2 linked regions of the Caenorhabditis elegans genome follow. The protein of the gene in region 2 purifies or fractionates together with the protein of the main gene of each other region. This does not show direct contact. Each region holds a gene or a part of one and is shown on either strand. Other genes may lie near its edges.

Evidence for each region.
Region 1: the proteins of lec-8 (region 2) and gmap-2 fractionate together in Caenorhabditis elegans (co-fractionation; one large-scale study listed by BioGRID). This does not show direct contact.

What each region holds. Positions count from the first base shown.
Region 1 is NC_003284.9:12,938,353-12,949,507, forward strand, and holds gmap-2 (GM2 Activator Protein family member), read right to left. Parts: upstream 4,915-11,155; 5' UTR 4,908-4,914; coding exon 4,802-4,907; intron 4,752-4,801; coding exon 4,654-4,751; intron 4,551-4,653; coding exon 4,411-4,550; intron 4,188-4,410; exon of another isoform or gene 4,106-4,187; intron 3,956-4,105; coding exon 3,856-3,955; intron 3,802-3,855; coding exon 3,685-3,801; intron 3,639-3,684; coding exon 3,562-3,638; intron 3,387-3,561; coding exon 3,200-3,386; 3' UTR 3,090-3,199; downstream 1-3,089. Other genes in the region: gmap-3 (GM2 Activator Protein family member), read right to left, coding at 398-517, 574-705, 751-961, 1,016-1,131, 2,035-2,156, 2,200-2,359; nssp-88 (Neuropeptide-Like Protein), read right to left, coding at 7,264-7,419, 7,500-7,589, 7,887-7,988, 8,037-8,096, 8,148-8,210.
Region 2 is NC_003284.9:9,845,832-9,856,088, reverse strand, and holds lec-8 (putative galaptin lec-8), read right to left. Parts: upstream 5,519-10,257; 5' UTR 5,483-5,518; coding exon 5,462-5,482; intron 5,397-5,461; coding exon 5,115-5,396; intron 5,068-5,114; coding exon 4,828-5,067; 3' UTR 4,753-4,827; downstream 1-4,752. Other genes in the region: putative galaptin lec-7, read right to left, coding at 3,180-3,416, 3,460-3,652, 3,700-3,788, 3,836-3,856; Homeobox protein vab-15, read right to left, coding at 6,976-7,119, 8,166-8,377, 8,429-8,541, 8,590-8,798.

The sequences.
Region 1 (11,155 bases), 3.1 Mb from region 2:
TTTAGGCTCCATGGAACATTTATATTAACAGTCGGTTTTTAAGTATAGCTCGCAAGATAAAATGTGTAACCCATAATATAATAAAACAGGTTCTTGCTCTGAAAATATTTGACTAATTTAAAAATGTAATACAAAGTAATGGCCGGGTCTCAGTTTTTATACTGTTTAGTTTGAAGTCCATAAAATTGTTTGTGTTGTCAAACTTTTGCCACCCACAGAAATAGCTTCCTTGTTATTTTCTTTGCTGAATTTGATTGTTATAAATCTTCCTTTGCACGTATTATTTCACGTCAACTGTTTCATGGGCCACCAAATCGTATGATTTACAGTCACAAAAAATTTCAAAAAATAATAAATTTATTTACAGACAAGCAAAATTAGGTTAGAAAATCACAAATTATTTACGGTTAACTTTCAAGTTTCCGTAAATCTTATGGCATGCCACGTAGCTTTGTTGGTTTTTGATAATTTGATTGAATGGAAGAGACCAGTAGACTTCAGCCGGAAGTTGAGTGTCCTGTAACATTTTTGAAATACTCTTTTAAAAAGAGAAAAATTCAGCTTGTGATTTACCTTGAAAAAACTGTACTTGGTTCTACGGTATACACCCTCGATTTTGATTTGAGTCGCCATTTGTTTGCTGACGTCAGAGTCAAACACGTAGACTGTAGCAAAGATCCCCATAGCACGAACAGAGTTTCCGTCCTGAAATTTCCAGCCAGTTTTTGCTTTTTTGACCTTTAGACTTACATCACCCTGAATCAGCTGCAAGAATGACTCCTTACTAAGCCCTTGTGAGCTGATGACATCATCAATGTCTGGAAGACAGAAAGCAAGCTTCAAGTTGTCATAGCTGCCTTTTTTCAATCCGTCAGCGCAGCTGATTGGTTGACCATCGAGGAGCAGCTGTGCTCGAACTCCTAATTTGTCACCGAATGTTTCACATGCATTGCAGTACAGGCTGAAAAAAAGATAAATCAATATTGTATGACAACATTAATTAATAGCAACAAACCAAGACCCAAATCCTCCACATCCGTTTTCAGGTTGTCGAACACATTTCTCTGGGACAGTATTTTTTTTGGCAGTGTTCTTCAGCTCAAGATAAATGGAGAAATCTCCGCCAAAGTCCTGAAATAGAGAGTTTCAATTTATTTTTTTATGTAGCTTTATTGTTCATTCAAAGTATATACTTAGAGAGTAATAAGAAGTTGTGATGAATTCTTTATTTCTCAGGGTAAGATAATTTTTAAACTTTTGATACGCTACACAAATACTGAAAAAAAACATTAAGTTTTGAATGATATTGATTTAAAATGTTGTCACGTTGTCACGTTGGCATAAAAAAATTCAATTTGCCCAATAATAATTCAGTAAGGTATAATTTAGTGATTTTTAAATTGTACAGACTACATTTAAAGATACAGATTGTGTTGATGTTCTTAAAAACACGGTCTTAAAGGCGGACTAACGGTTCGGACGATTTTGAACGTATAAATCCGAATTGGGCTGGAATGAATAAATTTTGAAAAAAAATACACTGATTTTCGCTAAAATCTCAATTTTCGGCCACTTTTCCGTGTCGCAGCGGTCCGAAGTTGTCTTTTTTGGAATTATCCTCCTGCATCTTTTGGTAATTTTTTATCATCACATTTCATTGATTTAAACCCGATAGGTAACCAAAAATCATCAAAATTGGTTACCTGTCGGCTTTAAATGTGCCTTAATCAATGAAATTGGATGAGATAAACTACCAAAATATGCAATAAAGGGCGATGATTCCAAAAAAGTCAACTACGTCCCCCGCTGCGACACGGAAAAGTTGCCAAAAATCGAGATTTTAGCTAAAATCAGTGTATTTTTTTTTCAAAATTTTGAACCGCCATAAAAAAATTTTGAAAAATTTATCAGAAGTTTCCTTACGAAACTCGTTTATTTGAGCTCATTTTGGGTTTGAACGTTCAAAATCATCCAAACCGTTAGTCCTCCTTCAAGACACGGAATATTAACAAAACAAAAAGCACAATATTTTACCTCTAGAACTTCTACTTGGCCTCCGATAGTAAAACAGTTTGGCTTATCGGCTTGTGGTTCAAGTTTCGGGCCTCTCCTATCATTTCCAGACTCGAATTCTAACTTCTTTGTCCATTTACCACCTGAAAACCAAATAAGCTTTGGTTTAAAATCTCGTAAACCTACTTTTGCATGGTTGATGTTTGATGAGTTCAAGAGTTACACTCAGATCTTTTCCCAACTCAACGTTTTCCAACGCGTTGGAAATGGAAACGAAAAGACACGATGAAGCTAAGAAAACGACCAACATCTGCGACTGAAACCGATGCGCAAATGAAGGTGTCATGGCTTATGAAGTAAGCGACGAGGACGTGCCCTTCTTTCACACCCCTTTTCAGCTGGATTTTAGAATAGTTTACAGTGACGGTGGGGGTGAAAGGGGAATATAGATATGAATTGTACAAATGTGTAATAAAAGTCTGACAGCCATCAAAACCACTTTTCTCGTTTTTTCTTTCTTTTTCGTGTTACTTTTACCTCAATGTGAAATGATTGTCGGATGGCGTTTCGAGGTCATGAAGGTTATGAGATTCTGAAAAGATGAAGAGATTAAAAGAAAAGGAAAGGGGAAAAAAGTAAAAAAAAAGGAAAATAATGAATCAAAAGCCTTATGTCCTTCAACTAGTAGTGAGAACAAATGCAATAAAGTTTTACAGATGTGTTACATAAATATCACTTTATGATCTCTAACCAACAACATATATAGTTCCAGTTTTCCTTACTATTAGTAACTTTGCAAGATTTTTCTGTAGAATTCGTGTACTGTTGTATACACAAGAATAAAAATTCTAGAAGTAAAGGGTATACAGAATACTTTGAACAAAATCCCAGAAACATTTTGAGGCTAGCAAAATATTGAGGTTGTATTGAATAAAATGCATATTGAAGAAATGTAAAAAAACATACTCAAAAGGATACCAGACAAAACTGTTGTTTTTTACACAACGAGTCTTTGAGCACAGTATCACCATAAAGATTGACTGTTATTTATTAAATGTCAAGATCAATTTGCTTATCTAATTCATAATTTTTATTGTGTTTATTTCATAATTCACAAAAAATGAACCCGCATAAACGAAATGAATAAACATGAAGTTATCATCGTTGTTCATCCAAATATATTTTCTTATTTCTTCTTGGCTTGAATGTCGCTCAAGCTAATGGTTCCGTAAAGTTTGTGACATCCAACGAAAACTGACTGCTTTTTGATAATTTGATTGAATGGCAGATTCCAATAAGTTTGAGAGTCAACTGGCTCATCAGCGCCAAGTTTGCGAAGTTCACGGATGCGAGATTCTAGTTTTCGTTGAGAGCTGAAATTATTTCATTTTTCTATTTGTTTAAAAATTTTCTACTCGTGAAAAATAGTGTTATTTTTCATATAGCTGTAATGTATGTGACATATATGTCTCGAATATAGTGAATGGTTGTTAGATGGTATATGAAACTGTAAATCTGGCTAAAACCTATTTAATTTTCAGAACTTACACTAGAAGAGGTTTAATATCCTTGTCGAACAAATAAACGGTCACAAATAGACTAAGCTTTGGTGGACCATTTCCTTCCTGAAACACACTTTTTCTTTCAATAATTATTTTCATTTTGTCAAACCTGAGTAGTAGCAGCTAAAATGTGATCTAACGCGTCTTCTGAAATTCCCTGCCATTCCAACAATGCAGCTAATTTCGGAAGGCAGAAACGGAGTTCAACATTATCATATTCTCCTTTCTAAAAATAGTGTTATTGACTGCATCGTAAATTTTTTTTAACGATGTTGCTCACTTTTAATGGCTCACATCCTGCTGGTTTGCCGTTCACAACAAGTTGAGCTCCGAGAATTTTCGTGAGAGAGTCCAAAGAATCACATGGCCGGCAGTAGAGACTGAAACAGCAGTGTTTACGTCATTTTTTGGAAACAACAAAACAACAAATTTTCAAGTTCGAAAATTTAAATTTCGTAATCATCGAAATACAACTAAATCTTGTTGTTTGAAGTTATAACATAACGACAAATTATGATAGCGTAGTACGTGGAGAGATGGCCGAGCGGTCTAAGGCGCTGGTTTAAGGCACCAGTCCCTTCGGGGGCGTGGGTTCGAATCCCACTCTCTTCAGTTCTTTTTTTTTAATTTATTTTGCAGGTTAAACACTTATGTATGAAATTGTTATAGTTATACTTTTTGTTTTAAGAGTGACCTCTAACTTAAAACTTTTAGGTACTTCACAGCTGTTCATCTATCATTAACTGCTCAAAAGGCTTTTTTTTCATTTCCTAATGTTTTTTCTAGCTCTAGAATCTTGATGATTTCCCTAATATTTCTGTCAATAACTCATTACCATGATCCAACACCTCCACAACCAGTGTCCGGATTGGCATCCCTGCACACTTCCGGTGGTCTTTGAGTGTCACCAGTGGTCGACACGGACAAGTAGATCAACAACTCGTCGCTCACATCCTCATGAATTTTCACTTTTCCCTAAAGAAAATGAATTATTATTATTATTGTAATAACGTCAATCATCAAGCATTGTTATTGTTTTTCAAAAATCAAAATAAAACACTCTTGGGGGCTAACTCACACTAATTGCATAGCACCCTTTCTGTTCAGTTGACTTGAGTAGCGCTCCACTATCCGAGTGGCCACCCTGGAACTCGATTTTGCGGTTCCAGTGAGAACCTGTAACACGTAAAGTATTAAAAAAGTGACAACGATAGTTTAATAATTACTTTTTCTCCATGCACAACTTTGATGTCTATGAAGGTTTAAGTTCAGATACTGAGTCGATGCAAATCCAAACAAAATTGCCAGTAATATCAGGCAGTTTGTAATCATGACAAATCTGTAAGATACCGTTTATGTAAAAATTTACAGAAAGTTACAAGAACAGTATAGAAAAAGTCACAGAAGTCACTGAATTCAAATAGTTCCATCATCGAAACATCTTCATATCTAATATTTGAATCAATCTTAGTTTAGCATTTAATGCAAATGCGGCAAGAAAGTAGCTGTGAAAAAGAAAAATCGTCAAATGGGGCAAAACGATACGAATGGAAGGAACCTGTTACGTAAGCTTAGAGATCTGTCTAAGCATGAAAAAAGAGAATCGGGTATGATATGCATTGTTGAAGGACCTAGACTTTCAATCAAAACGGGACTATGGCAGAGACCACAAGGAAAAATAAACTGAAATAAGGAAGCGAAATGTTCTACGATGACTGACCAGGAGAACATTGAAGATTCCAATGGTCTTTGATTTAGTGTTCACCTCGTCGTCGTCCGCCCTAATTTTTCAACTTGTCATAAAATTTGATTCCTCTGGAATTTCACAAAAGAAAACTAGTTACGAGAACAAGAACTAATGTGGAACTTTTAATGGTGTGTACTAGGTGTGTTTGAGAAGGGAAATATTTGTGACGCTTTACAAAATCAGTGTTCATGTGACTATCTTTTCAAATCGACTTCAAAATGTTGTTTGTAAGAATGGAGACCTAAATGAATGATGGAGTTTGTGGGCAAAAAATCTCAAAAACTACAGAAACAATGTCAGAAATAACGCAACAGTTATTTGTAATTTTATAATACTTCGGTTCTCAACTATAGAATATTTGGGAAACTTAGTGGAAAAATAATACCGCCGGCATATAGAATAACTCTTAAACTACTTTGGACGAATTAATGTTTTAACAGTGGTCGCAAGAGCATTCGAGCTAATGAAGTTTGGCAAACAAAGATTTTTTTGTGGACTACAAATTATGATAGGCATAATACCATTAAGCCCAATAGTGGCTGGGTGAACCTAGGGGGTGAGGCCGGACTTGAACTTATGACCTCCAGATTTCTAGCGGTCACCACTACCGACTGAGCTATCCGCCCCCCGAAATACAATTTTGTAAAGCAAAATTAAAAAATATATCTTTTCATTTTTTCACGTATCAATCATGTTTGCGCAATTTAAAAAATGAACTTTAATGAAAAAAAATCATAAACTTATATAATCTTGCAAAAACCCCTTGATAAGAAAAATGAGTCATTGAACGATTAAAACATAAATAAAAATTTCCACTAGCTTTAACCAAAAGTCCACACTTTTTCATCTTGCGAATACACAGTTTTCACACCCGTCTTTATAATCATTTTATACACTTTCTGTAATGCTGGCAATTCGCTTGAGTGCACTTGAATAGCAAAGGTTCACGCTTGGACAGAAAAGTGTGACGAAAGATATTGTGGAAGGGCAAATGAATGGTGGGCCGACACGCAGGGCAAAAAACGAATAATACTAAGAAATTGTGGAAGACGATAAAGACTGCGAATTGGTCGGAAACGAGAATTTGCCAAGAATCCCCTCATCTCCTTTCACCAACTAACCGCGGATAATAGATAATAGGTGTGAATCATTATTATTCGATCAGGAAACGATGCGCTATGCAAAGTGTTAGCTGGTCTGCTTGCGTTACATTCAGGTATACAATTTTTGCAGGAAATCACGCACATACACATCTGAATGTCACTTTATGTACAGTGTTTTAGACAAAACCAGTTTTAATACTGCGCTTGTGATAGTTGTACCAAATTCTGAATTTGTGAATGGCCAGGTATACATACTAGAGCTTAAAACTGGACTAAATTTTATTTGATCAAAACTGATTAGCAAAATTTTATTACAAATTAAAAGGTTTATTTCACGGTTCATTTAAAGGCGTAGAAATAAATTTGGGCACACATCAACCTACTGAACATGCATTTTAATCAATGGAATAATTGTGCACTAAAATAGTTTTATGACAAAATAACCTTGACAATATTTTAGAAAACTCCAAGATGTAACAAGTGTTAAGTTTAAGGAAGTCCAATGCAAAACCTTATATAAAGGATTAGGCACGTCTTGCAATTATAAAAAAGTATCCCACTGTTGAGCATCTCTTCTGACATTTCAAAAAAAAATTTAACAAAAAAAGGTGTAACCAGACTTGAATTTCCTTTATTAGTAACTGCTCGATTATAAATTTAAATAATCGGGACGTGGTTGAAACGCTTTAATTTTTTAAGCTATACTCGGTTGACAGAAAATAGACTGTTTGTATGATGGAAACTTTGTATCACAGCTCTAACAAAACAGCTTTATTTCACCAAAAGTACAAGGACTGGAGGAAAGAAAAATTGTATCAACTATCTCATTTCTGCACCTTCAACGCCCCCAAAGCCGGCTGCTGAGTTGAAGTTTTGGCCGGATTCCTGCTTTCGCCACCCGCTCCATTTTCAGATTGTCATCAGAAAACACTTCCTCATTTTCAGTCTCATGTTGATTCAACGACTGTCTTGAAGTCTTGGCCAATATTGTGGTCTGCAATCTGATTCGATGAAATCTTGGAAACAAGAATCATAAGTGAACAGGAAGGAGTGGATTCCAAGTAATTTGTTTACCGTTTCGAATTTATTCTCATCTTTGATCGTTTTCTCGGATGATTCCACCGGCCACATCACCATGAAATCTTCAGGAATCAGAGGGATGTCCTGAATTAAATTAAATTGAAATAAATGAAATGAGTCAGTGGTTTATTGAAAACACACTACATTTGATTGCACCTGCTAACTATAAGTTTTAAAATTATTTAGGGATGACAAATTTCCTCGTGATTCTATCTTTGCCAAAAATTAACAATTCCACCTGCATTAAACTCGTGGCCAAAACTTCAAAACATTAGGATTTCTCAAGTGTATCAATAGAATAGTGTTGTTCCAAAAAAAAAAACGCTTTATGTAAATTCAAAAAAAACACAGAAGTGAAGAAGTAAAATTTCCTTGACTCACCCTTTCAAAATTCCTCAGCCCTGAAGCATGTGCCCGTTTGCCCCAAAGAATACTGGACCTGCGGAGCTCCCCGTTTATAGCTCGTTTGTGCGTGATGAACCTCTGAATTTAGATTTTAAAATAAAAAATCTGACATCCATGAAAGCTTACATCAAAATGCGCCATGTCGTCACCACCCCCAATGCCTCCAAACTTCCTCATTTTCCAATCCTAAACATTTTGCGAATAATTCATAAGTTTGACTATTTTTGGTGTCCCTACCTGATTGGCCATGGTGACCCCAGCGAAGAAGAAAGCAATCAGAATAAAGAAGGTGTACTGCATGTCGTCCTGTGAAGTACAAGTATAATTCTCAGAGATTAATTTTTTTGGGAATGGAATTAAGAAAAAGTGTGAGCCGGGTGATTTTAACTGGCAGTTAATGAAACCGATTTTAGCGCAGGAGCAATTTGATTTTGTCTTCACCTGTTTTGTTAAAACAAGGGGCGGAGCTTTGAATGCAGAAAGAGAGAGAAGGTTAATTCGGAAATGAAGAATCTTGATAGACTACCCGGAATTTTAAAAACATCAGTATAAATTAAAACTGAGTGTGAAAAATAAAGCGAAGGAAAAGGCAAAAGACAAAAAAAAAGCAAAATATAAGTGTGACCACTCATCGAAAATTAGAGGATACCTAGGTTCGGAAAAAAATGACGTGCTCCTCACTGGCTTGCAAATCATACTAATCATGTTTTCCAGGTGAATTATTTATGAGTGGGGAGACAAGACTCTCCCCCCCCCCCCCCCCGCCCAAATGGTTTAGTACTGGTTCCTAATTGCTCCTTGGAAAAACGAAACGACTTTATTATCGTAGTTGGAGCAAGAAGTCTTCAAAGGATCTTTGGAAATTTGATGACAATTGGTAGTATACAGAGGGAAAACAGAACAAGGGACAAAGATAGATAGGGGAGGAGGAATTAGAGAGAGAGAGCAAAAAACTTTTAAACATTTTTAGATAATCAACTTGGTTTGCTGTTTTCATTAACATTCTACGAGGAGATCAGAAACGTGATGATTTGGGAGAATAAAATGAGTATAAGAATGTACTCGCGGGCTGGAAAACGTAAGTTCGGAAAACAACTAAAACCAGGAGTTTTTCCACAAAAGAGTTAAAAAATGCTCTTGACCTATAGCATGCAACATATCATCGTGTTATTTTTGAATTGCAGATGCTAGTTGATAGTCAGTCTCTATATACAGGTCTTTCGATGTTTCTAAGATGATTATGGAATATTATTCGTGTACTTGTGAAAAAAGGCAGCAGTGGCAAAACAATTATTTACAGAAGTCTGAATATTTATTTTAATCGCGAATTATTAAGAGGCGTGAAAAAAAAGTTACTAAAGTGTTGATGTCTTCGTAACGGTATTTGCAATTTGTGAAACATATCTCAAAGATTATTGGTAGCGATAAGAATTTTACGATTGCAAAAACTCGAATCATAATAGTTATTTGGCAAACAATTTGCATTTCTCATAGCTCAAATGAAATATTTTAATGATAATTTGTGAAATCCTGGAAAAAATTATGACTGGTACTACAAAACAGCTAAATATTTTATAGCAAAAATTTCAAAAGAATGAATAAGCTAAGCTCTTCCAAAAAAGGAAAGAAGGCGGAGACAAGTATCACCTGGGTGAACAAGGATGATGGACAATCAAAAATTATCAAGCAAAGAAAAAGAGAAAACTAAATTCAAAACGTACAGTGAAAAAATGAGATAGCCGGAAATAAAAAAACAATACATTTTATAGTGATTTGAAGTTGCATCTGCGAAATCTACTTTGGGAACTAGTGGAATTAGAAATGACGAGAAGGAAATTCTCCGACTAAAAATGTTTTCCTTGTTAAATGTCGTCAATTTGACCTGAAAGGACCTGCCAATTCGGGAGTAATTAGCGCATTCGTCTGGAAAACAAGGAACCCACTCTTTACAAAACACTACCGCACATCACTTGGCAAAGTGACGTTGCAATACGGATTTTTCTCGGGTTTCAGACAGAACCACCTCTGGCAGATGGAAAAACCTAGCAAAATCGGAGTTTTTGTTCTGTCGCGGTATTGAAACGATCAAAGCACATGGAGGTTAATACGGATTTCTTTAGACAATTATTAGGAATCGGCATCAAACATACCCATATGTTTATTTTGTTTTTACTATTGGAGTTTGGTTATCAGTTTTCCTACGTAAACCTTTTTAAAATAGGATTAAACTCGGTGGAAATCTGCAAAAATAGATTTCTTGATCGGATCAACTCTAGTTGTTCGGAAAAACAAATACTTTGAAAAATGGTCACTCATTGTCATGAATATTTTAGGATGTTGCCGTGAAAGTAAATTGTTGACCATTAGAAAAATTATATTTCTACTGTCAATAGTTCTATGACGCGAATGACTATGCAATGAGGAAAATTTTACAAACAAGTTCTGCGCTTTCATGATATCATTTGCGAGCAAAATTCTAATGTGAGAAAACGTTGTTTTCTAGTATACAATATCAAAATCCAAAATCTGGAAGCAAAATTGAAGACAAACAGGAGAATAGCTTTGTATTTTGCTCAATTTTCCAAATAAAAAAGCAAAGATCTGATTTCTTAAAACTAGAAAAGTGATGATGTTCCACAATTTGATCTGAATCTACTATTATAAATATTTTAAGTTTGTATCTAAGTGTAATAAACTTTAACGTATTCAAAGAAGTGTAGGTTGAGTTAAATTAGCAAGATGACACATCAAAGTTCTTTGAAAGGTCACTTTTCTGCAAGGAATTTGAATGATGCCATTTTATTTGAAGACGGAAAGCTTTTGGATTCCAGTTTACTATTTAAAAAAATCTAACAATACCAAGTTTCAAGTAAAAAAGATTATCTTCCGAATTTCTAGACAATACGTGAGACGATGATGTGAGCTCTCGGGGTTTTGGAAATTTTGAACTTCAAGTTTAACTTCAAAGTTTTTACAAATTCATGTAGTGCAACAAACAAGATAATCGGAAATCAGTCACAGTGTAGACGTAGTTGTCCTAACAAGAGTTTGCAGGTGTTTGTTATAAGGAAGTTTGTAGACCTTGATCGGCATAGAACTTGACTGCATTTTAGGATAACCACTTGTTAAATTGGTTTTACAAATGTAATTTGCACAAGTCGATTTGGAAAATGGAGATCAAAAATATTAATGGTCAATATGTTCTATGAATTATGTGAAAGGAGTCCAATAATGTGTTGTGAACT
Region 2 (10,257 bases):
GTAAGGGGGAATAAAAGTGAATGTGAAATGATCATTGCGTTATATAGAGCACATGTATGAGAACATATTTACCAGTCGGTAGCACTACTTTTTTAAGTTAGTCAGCCAAGCAAACTTTGAGCTAAGATCAAGTTTACTCAATCTTTTTATTTGATACTTGACGTACAGTTTGCAGTTCGAGCCTGCAAAGAGACACAGAAATAGATGATGTCGAGTAACTTTTAAAAATCAAAAAGGTTAATTTAACAAACAAAAGGCAGAACTAAGATACTGTAGAGACACTCTGTGCAAAGCTTAACAAAAAGTTGAAATCCAAAAAGAAAAGATGTTAGTCACTAGTTACAAACTAATATTTTTTTGATTTGAACTTTTGAGACGTCGAATGAATAAATTTAAATGACACTGGAGCAGTGAATTATGTATGTCTTCTATACTTCATATATTTTCTCATTTAAGGTAAAAATCACTCCGTCAATCAAAAAAAAACTCAATTGTTGTTTAAAGGAAGACTAACTGTTTGGACGATTATGAACGTATAGACCCAAATTGTGCCCAAATGAACGGAAACTGCTCAAATTTTTTTCAAAATTTTTTATGGCGGTTCAAAATTTCGAAAAAATTACACCGATTTTAGCTAAAATTTCAAATTTTGTAAATCTGTGATACGGAGAAGTTGGCAAAATTTGAGATGTTGGTTGAAATAGTGTAATTTTTCGATAATTAAAAAACACTATAACATCGTTTTGTTAAAGATTCCCATTACGAAATTGCATTTTTTGGATTGAATCGTTCCCAATAGTCCAGACCGTTAATGATCCTTTAAATTTTCAAGTTGTCTTGAAAAACATCATCAACAAGGTAGCAATTTTCACTTGCTTTCTAACAGTTAAGTCATCTTTAAAGTTGTTCCTGAAATATTTGTTTCGTTGATGCTTTAGAGATTCACAAGCTAAATGGGAATCTAACCGGCTGAAGTGTTTTCCTAATTGCGTTTATTGCCTTTCAAATCTTGTCTCGTTTTGTCGTCTTGAGTTTTATTGCCATGAAAAACAAGGCAATCTCGAACTTAAGAGATTCAGATAAACATTTCTAGTCACAAGTGGAAAAAACTAATAAGGGAGAAATCATTATTTGTGGTCATCATTTGTGGAACCTCGACAAGTACAAAACTTATATTTTATCTGTAGGTCATATTGCAATTGACTTAGTCGAGACATGTTCATTATGATATTAACTAAACTATTTTCAAATTCTTGTTTAAAAAAAACTAAAAAAGACATTTTTGACAAGCCATATCAGTTATGCAAGTTTGAGAATGAAAATTACGAATACTAATAATAAATTAAAAACACAATGTTCCCGATTTCTCCAATAGGCGTCTCAACACTGACATCATTGCTTCCATCAGCGGTATTTGGAAGACAAAGCAAATAAAAGTTTTTGGGGAAAAAGTTGGTAAACTCAGCAAACCGGGAATAAGTTTTCTCCCTTCTGAAACCCAATTTTCTTTCGCCTTATGGGTGCAATTCAAAATTGAATGAACTATGCATGTGCATCCCATTTCGGCAGACATTATACTCTATGAGAGATTAAATTGAAAATTAAAGAACGTTCTCTTAGTAAACTATTAAGAGGCGTGAGTGAGAGATGTTGGAAGATCACAGATATGATGAGATCAAAAATCTTGATTTCTACCTCTCTTTGCATATCGAGATATAAAATGGAAAGATGAGAAAGGAAGAGATGGAGCAGTATGAAATGGATAAGGAGGTTCTGTTATGTTTTTTGCTTTATAAAAAAATTGATGAGAAAAAGAGAATACACAAAAGAGGTCGCATAGAGACCGCATAAAAATTGGGGGATACATTTTGAGGCATGATTTATGATGTCGGAAATGAATTGATTCCTTTTTTTCTTCTACACGCACTTGGTCCGCAGTGAGGTTAGAAGGCTAACATAGCATTCACAAAATGAATTGCGATCTAGACTATAAAAAAACAAAACAAAATAGACAAAAACGCTCACGCTACCATTTCCTCTATTCGGGTTAAGATAGAATGGAAAAAGTTGAAAGAGTGGAGGATTGAATGAACAAGTTGGAAGGCGTAGTACTTGAAAAATGAGCAGTAGTTGTAGTAGACTAATGAATTTTTCCTTGTTGCCGCCTTATTTTGTGGTCTAGCGGATTGCACTTTATGGTGACTTTCAATTAAGAAAGATACCTTTTTTAAATGCGGGTAATAAAAGTGAGAACGGAAAAGTGCAGAAATAGCTCAAAAGTGCAAAGAAAATGTAAGAAAGTGGAACAAAGCAAACAAAAAGCTACAATCGAATCCGTTCTTCGACGGGGTAGCTACAAACCAAAGTTGGAAAAACCAACATGACGTTTTGAGAAAAATGAACATCGATCTGTCATTTTTCAATGACATTATTCCTCATTATTTTGAGTTACTACAAGTTTGTCTAATTGAGAAAGTGAGACCCTCATTCAATACTGAAGCACAGAGAAATAATTTGTTCGGCTGTTGTAAGCAATGATTAAAAACAATTATTATGTTTAGTATTGATCTGAATATTTAAAATGATTGAATCTCATGTGCAAGCAACTTTATAATTTGCCCGATGAAGTATAATGTGACTGGGAGCTAAAAATGGAAGAATAAAACATGCCAAAACAATTTTGGTAGTTTTTTGTAATAGCTTTGTTCCAAAATGCTAAACATTTTTTGTAACAAAAACTTGACTCCTTTCTGAATTTTTATACTTCGGAATAATTATTTCTTAGACTGAATAAAACAAGACTTTGAAAAAATTAAAATATTAGCTAATTACGGAGAGTTAATCCATGAAAAATGTTGGGCTACTACTGTCATAGTAGTACTATGTACAGCTACGAAAAATATTCGCATTTTTTATTGTTGTTTGCTTTTCTGAATATTAGCGCTTGTTTATGACAGATGAAAATTACATTGCTTTTGTAGTTTTGACAATTAGCTTGCGAGCTCACGATCTACCAAACATGTAAGTTTTATTCCTGCTTTTTATTTCATTATATCAGGTTCTGATAACTAGAATAATAACATTTATAACAAAACTTTTGATATGTGTATTTATTCAGGAAACAAAACATATAATACGTTTCTTCAGGAATAGTAAGTTAATGGTATACATATAGCTAATCAATAATGTTGAGTTCCCTCAATTTGAACAACTGATGGAGCGTTTGTCACGGTATCATATGCTTCACACACGGCCTCATTTACAATTGCATGACGCTTTTTCCACTCTGTTTTGAACTCATATCCTTTGAACACAATTGATTCAATATCGACTGATCCTTTGATTCCAATTCCTTGCACTGCTACGACCGGGAACCGATGATCAAACTCAACCAATAGATCACTGTTCACAGTTATCTGAAATAATATAATTCTCAGTGAAAACTGATACCAAACAAACATTATAGTATCCCTCGTGAACATAAATTCTGACATGGAAAGGATCATGACGTTTGAGAAAGTGGCTATGTCGGAGCTGAGGGCCCCATTCGCCATTTATTAGACTGTTCAAAACAATTGAATGTTCTCCATTGAACTCAAATTTAACATGGAGAACTATATTGGTACCACTGAGAAGTTCGATTGCAAAATCCCTGAAAATAAATAAACAATTATGCCAAACTACTGAAAATTCGAATACCTGTCATTCCCATGCAAAACAGCTCCATTTACTTCAATTTCAACGCCTGCTTTTAGGTTTTCCTCAATTTGATACACACTCGGAACTTTCTGAAAAATTTCAAGGCACTGAAAAACTTACAAAACAGTCTACTTACCGGGTTTTCAATAACATACATGTTGTCTCGAATAGTTGTTTCAACTTAACTTAACCATTTTTTTCTCACTTTTTATACTTTTCACCTTGTTTTTGTGCTCCCGGTTGCGAACCATGTTTACTTTTTGTCATCATCGTCGAGCTGTGTGTCAACATTATTTGAAAATGTTTGATCTTTTCTTACTCGACCTTAGTCATCGTCTCAAGAATTGCCTGTTGCCGAAATAGTAAAATAGAACTTTGTTGCTGGAATGGAACTGACTTTCGGGCATTTTTGAGATGTTTGCATTACGCAATCATAAGGTGCGAATGTCGTTTAGGGTTTTTGTATTTTGACTTTTTAGACTGTATGATAAGGAAACATTTCGAAAACGGAATAGATGCTGGCAAGGTGGTTTCAGATTTCGAAGTAAAAGTGAATTTGAAAGTTTCTAGCTGTTGAATAACGATGAACCAGTTTCTAATTACATTTTGCGTTGGTTTCGAGTATATTTTCTTTGCGTTGGTTTTGAGTATATAATTTGAAAGATTTTTCCATTGGAAAGAAATCACTTACTTTCGGTTCATATCTTGAATTGTATCTATGGACAAAATAATACTAAATTTGTGGACCCGTTGACATAAAAAACACCTTAACCTACTGAACAACACGTAGTGAACTACGTCCATGTGCAGTAAAAAAATTTCCATAAATGTTCATTTCCGAAAGGTCGAACTTTGTAATGTGAATTTTCAGCCAGAATGGGCATTGTTCTAAACGTGGAACTGTGGTAACTTTTTTTTCTGAAATGTTTTCAAGACGTCTCATTTTAAAATTTGGTTGTTTTGGGAAATTGCGAGTCTAATTTACAAGAACTCAAAGTTCGCTATTCAACACATATCTTTATTTATTCTGATTTGATGTTGCTTTAAAAAAATCCAATTGAATGTTTATTGGTGAATCACTCAGAATTAAAAGAACAATAATTCATACTGACACAATTTACAAAATCTTTAGAAGTAGGCGTTGTAGGAGTGAGTCTCTTGGAAAACTGGAGCAACATAGGTTTCAGTACCATAGGAATTGTAGCCAGCATGTCCAAAATCATGTTGAGAGTTCCAGTCAACTCCAAATTCAAATCCAGAGAAAGAGATCTCATCGATATGCGCGGCTCCTTTGAGTCCAATTGCTTGAACTGATTCAACTGGGAAACGGTGTGGGAAGTCGGCGAGGTGCTCTCCGTTCACAGAGATCTGAAATGTTATCATAATTCCAACTTTTCGATGATTGCATCGCTTACATGATAGTATCCTTCGTGAACATGGATGGAGAGGTTAAAGTGATCGTGGTGCTTGAGCGGGTTGTGGTGACGGATTTCGGCTCCCCATGCTCCGTTTGTGCAAGTATTCATTGCAACAATGTGGTCATGCTCAAAACGGAAGTTGACGTGAAGAACGATATGGGGTCCAGAGAGAAGCTCTACAGAAAAGTCTTTGTGGTGCTTGTGGGTAACATGACCACGGACATGGATTTCAGATCCAGCACGAAGTTGCTCACGGATAGCATGAGCGCTTGGAACATCCTGAAGAGTATAACTTTATTATTTCTATAACATGGTATGATAAAAGTTTTAGAAAGTTAACTGACCGGGCTATTAATGGTATGCATGGTTGATGATAGATGGAAGACGGTTTGCAGTACTGCGTTCTTTTAGATATTGTACCTCCTTTTTATACGACTCGTTTGTTTGAACACTCAACGTTGCATTAATCATTCGATAAAACCAATGTTTGACAGATAGATTATGGACGTTTGTGAGAAGTTGAGAAATCGAGAATTTGAGAAAGAGCTGTGAAATGTTGAGTTTCGGTGATAAGAGGAGTCAAATGTTATTGCTAATCAACGTGTCGTGACTTTTAGAATATTGAAAAAATAAGATGGTATTTCAAGGAATTTTAACATCGATCTTTAATTTCACTGTGTCGCAAATGAGGCGAGTAAGTAATGAGGCGCTTCGATTTATTTTATCGTTTTGCTGATTCACATTTCAAACAGTTTGACGTTGTGGAAGAACGAAGTGACTCATTTTTTGATTGGCCGGAAATAGTACCAATATGCCAATCGCAAGATTTATTATCAACAGGACAGCGTTTCCAAGTTAAATTACAGTCGTCTGAAACTGTTATTAGGTAGTTTTTTCTTTTACCAAGTTTCTTATAATTAATTGGCAAAAGAAGTTGGTACTGTAGCTTTTCAAAACTGGTTAGTCCATAAAATATTGTGAAAAGCGTAATACTTAGGAAACGAAACAATTTTAAATGGTGACTAAAGTATTGGCTAAACATCGTTTTTAAGTTTTTACGAACTACAATTTTATGACTACAAAGGATTTGCAATTTGTATTTTAATTCAATTTCTCTTTTGTTTACATGCTGATTACAGTTTTTTCGCAGAATAATTAACAATGAATATTAATGTTTGCATTATTATTTATTACAGTAAATTAAAAAAAAATTGTTTCTGTAAGCAAAATTACAAGCAAAAGCTAGTGTATTGGGAAACATAAAAACAGGGAGAATGACATAAGGAAATATAAACAAGTGGCGCTAAACATTTAAGTTTTTAACCTATTCATTTTTAAAGAGATCACATGTATTTTGCAACTTTAGATGATTAATAAAACAGTTTGCTAACGAATAAAGAAAATGTGCAAAATGAAAAGCGAATTAGCCCACAACACAATGTGAAAGAAATGGGGAACAAGTTCAGGAATGTGGAATTGCATATAGTTTTTTTTGTTGGAACCGGACTAATAACTGAATGTTGAGCATTGTTTTTGAGGCCAATCAAGAGGTGTGAAGGAATCATTCAATTTTGGTAGGCTCAATGGTAATTAACAATTTTGTGAAATGACTTATTGGCTGGTTTAGAGACTAGGTTTTGGGAGGGATAAGTATTATACAGTAAGACAAAAATGCCCACATACGTGTCTACAAAGCATGCCTACTTTGTTCGAAAGGCAACCTCTCTAGTGGAGTCACAGTAACTTTTATGGCAAAGTAGGTCTTGCCTATCTTTAAGGCACGGTTTAAGGCATGCATTGTAGACATGACGGTGGGTATTTCTGTCACCGCGGAAAAGGAAGTGATGTTATGCGGTCACTACCACTGAGGTTGGTAAAATGCCAAAATGCTGGATGGATCTGGTGCTCCGCCAACTGCAGCTGCTGCGTAAGCACTGGCCTGTGCAAACTTCACTTTTTCCACTTCAGCTTCCTGTAGTCTTTTTGATTTAGCCCTTCGATTCTGTAATTGATCTATTTAATTAATGTTTCCAAAACTTTCTTTTTCTTTATATTTTTGGCGTCAAGCTGTGAAATCAAATTCCGCAACTTCAAATTCATTGCCAAATTCCGCAATCTTTTAGATCATTTATCATATCATTAACACCTTATTGAGGGAAATTTGATAGATTCTGATAACATTGACCTTGGTTTTTTTTGTTGTGAAACTGAATACTAAGAAAACTAAAAAAAATTGACAGGTGTTAATGTGTTGGAAATAGTAAATCAAGGTTGTAGATGCAGATGGTAAAGAAGTATTCCCTCACAACGTAATGGTATTTCGTCTAATTTTATGGGCAATCACATATTTGACTGATTGAGAAACCAAAATAAAGCATGTATGAGCAGATGACTATGTGACAATTAGCTTACGTCATTGACACCATTGTGTACGTTCCCCCGAACCGAAAATTTGAAGGATAGGTTGGACCCCCTTCACATGAATTGATTCAAGAAGATGTGCAGTTGCAATATTTACCAATTACGTGATGATGAAGGTCAATTAACCGCGCCATCATCTGCCACCACTACACCACGCGCCTGATCCGAAATATATTGATACTGTAGAAACAGGAGAAAAGACAGCTGTCACAACACAACAGCTACTTGACAAGTCAGACGGAATGCAAAAGGAGAAAGTGTCAGATCTCGTTAGTCACCTTTTTTAATGAACGAGCATTTTATCTTCCTATGTGTCGGCTTTTTTTGTTTTTCTTCTTATTTCAGCCCAAAAGATAAGATCGTTTTGACAACAGGTGTGAAGAATTCCGTTCTGGAATCTATTCCATGAATCGGATCGGGTTGGAGAAGAATTACAGAGAGACGTGAAGGTCAATGTTATCGGCGGGATCACGAGAAGGCAAGGGGATACGCAACGCATTTACGAACACCATAATTATGAGGAGCGTGTCAAGTTATTGATAGAATCTATTGAGAGGCATACTGTCACTTATGATTTAATGAATTGTTCAGGACTGCATTCGAGTGCTGAGAAAAATTAATACTAACCTGGAACCAAATTTTGACTTGTGTCTCTGTCAATTGCAATGATGCGCTAAACTCTGCTCTTTCCGCAATTGACAGGTACTGTTTTGATTGAAACTTTCTTTCCAAAGAAATAAGTTGTTGAGTAGAGAATGGGGTACGTGGCTTTCTATTGTTCTTGTGTTTCCTTAACATGCACTTGGAAAGCCCTATTTGAATCTTGGCGTCATCGCTAGCTGTAAACGCCAATTAATTGAAAAGGAAACGAATCTTGGATTTTCGCTTACTTGGTGAATCTTCTCGCTGAGATGATAGCCATTGAAGTGAATGTTGCATAGACAGTGGAGACGAGGCACAGGATTCAGGTGAACTGTCGGAGCTTACTATTGGCAGCCGGTTTCTGAAACGCAATAGAATGATTGACTTCTAAAAAAAGTTGTTCACTTACCCGGTCTGAGCGAAATATATCATCACAGGATCCAATTGAGCGCCGAAGTATGGAGTCATAGGATGTAATCCTGGTATTAGCATAGGAGTTTTTGGCGTAATTGGCGTAGGTTTTGGTAAATCTTCACGACATTTTTGTTTGGGTGTTTCAAGTAGACTCTCTACACTGAATAATCCTGATTGCTTTGGTTTTTCATCTTTCGACACCATTGTTCTAATAATATCTGTAATAAAATAATCAATGTCTTTGAGAAAAGATTCATTACGACGGATTAGAGAGAATTGATCATAAAAATAATCTGCAAAGGATGAGGGAACACTGAATGCGTAACAACATATGTTACCGTAATAATAATTGAGCAAAAGAAGGGATTTAGAGAAAACGGAGCGACGGAGAGGATACTCTTGTAATTAATAGTCAAAGCTCTATGAGCCTCTATGAAACGGCGACAGGAAGTATAAGAAGGCGGGAAGTGGTGCGCATCGCTTAAGGATAGGATAAATTGCAAAGCAAACAAAAAATCAGATGGGGTTTACGGTAGGAATCATTGCTGGAAAATAAAAGGAGGAGCCCCTTATAAGCAGATGTGTTGACCAATATAACACCACGCGCTTATTGCAATCCTTAATGACATTAGCACCTTGCTTTATTTATTGCCACGTGACATCGATCTCCGTTTATAGCTTTATCCAATATCGTCATTAGCTGATTCAGATGGGATGAGAGGGAGGTGTCAAAGAGGCGCCAAAAAGCAAAAACAATGAAAGAAGTGGCAACAACACCAAAATAATCAACGTCTCATCAACTCAAACGGGGGAAATTGGAACTAAATGAAGTTGGTAGTGGTGAGGAAGGAGAATTGTTGGAATTGTTGGAATTCGAGCCAACAAAACATAATTGTTTAGAGTTGTGAGGTTGGCTTTCTCCTTTTGAAACTTGTCTGTTACCACCAACCCACAAGAAAGTAATTATGTCATTATGTGATGAGAGCCAAAACGGGGCGTAGAGAGTTTTACGACGCAACAATTATCACAAATATTTTTGAGTCCCTCATTTTCCACACTCTTGAAATTACACTTTTATTGGGTACGTCCGGCTCATTAGCTTATTAACTTATTACTAACTGGCAAGTTCGAGAACAGGAAATGATGCTCAAGCCATAAAACAAAAAGAGCCATTGTGAAAACTGGCCGCTCTAGAAGTTTACCATCGTCTGGAAAGCATAGAAAAGTAGTATCCCCAATTAGAGCACAGAAATCAAAAGTGAAAAGAAAGTGTGCAATAGGGGTGCTATTCTTTTTGTGACTCCGCCTCTCAGATTGTTGGCCCTCGTCCGAAAACAATTAACTACCGTATGCCTCCTCCCGTCACACACACAGAAGACTCAGCCTCCCACCGCTCGGGGTGGCCACGAATAAGACAGAGGGCGGGATCCAATATCTATCTGAATGTTGTCTTTTCATGCTGTCTGATCAACACGTTGATTGCATGTCTATCAGAATTGATCACCATCAATTTCGCTATCAAATCCATCGTCAAGTGCACGCGGGAGGAGAAGTGCAAATGTTTCAAAAGCACCAAGAGTGGGATACAAAAATCTAATACAGTGAAATGAGTCGTTAATAAGATGCTCAGAAATCGATAGATGTTTGTTCCATTTCTATGAGA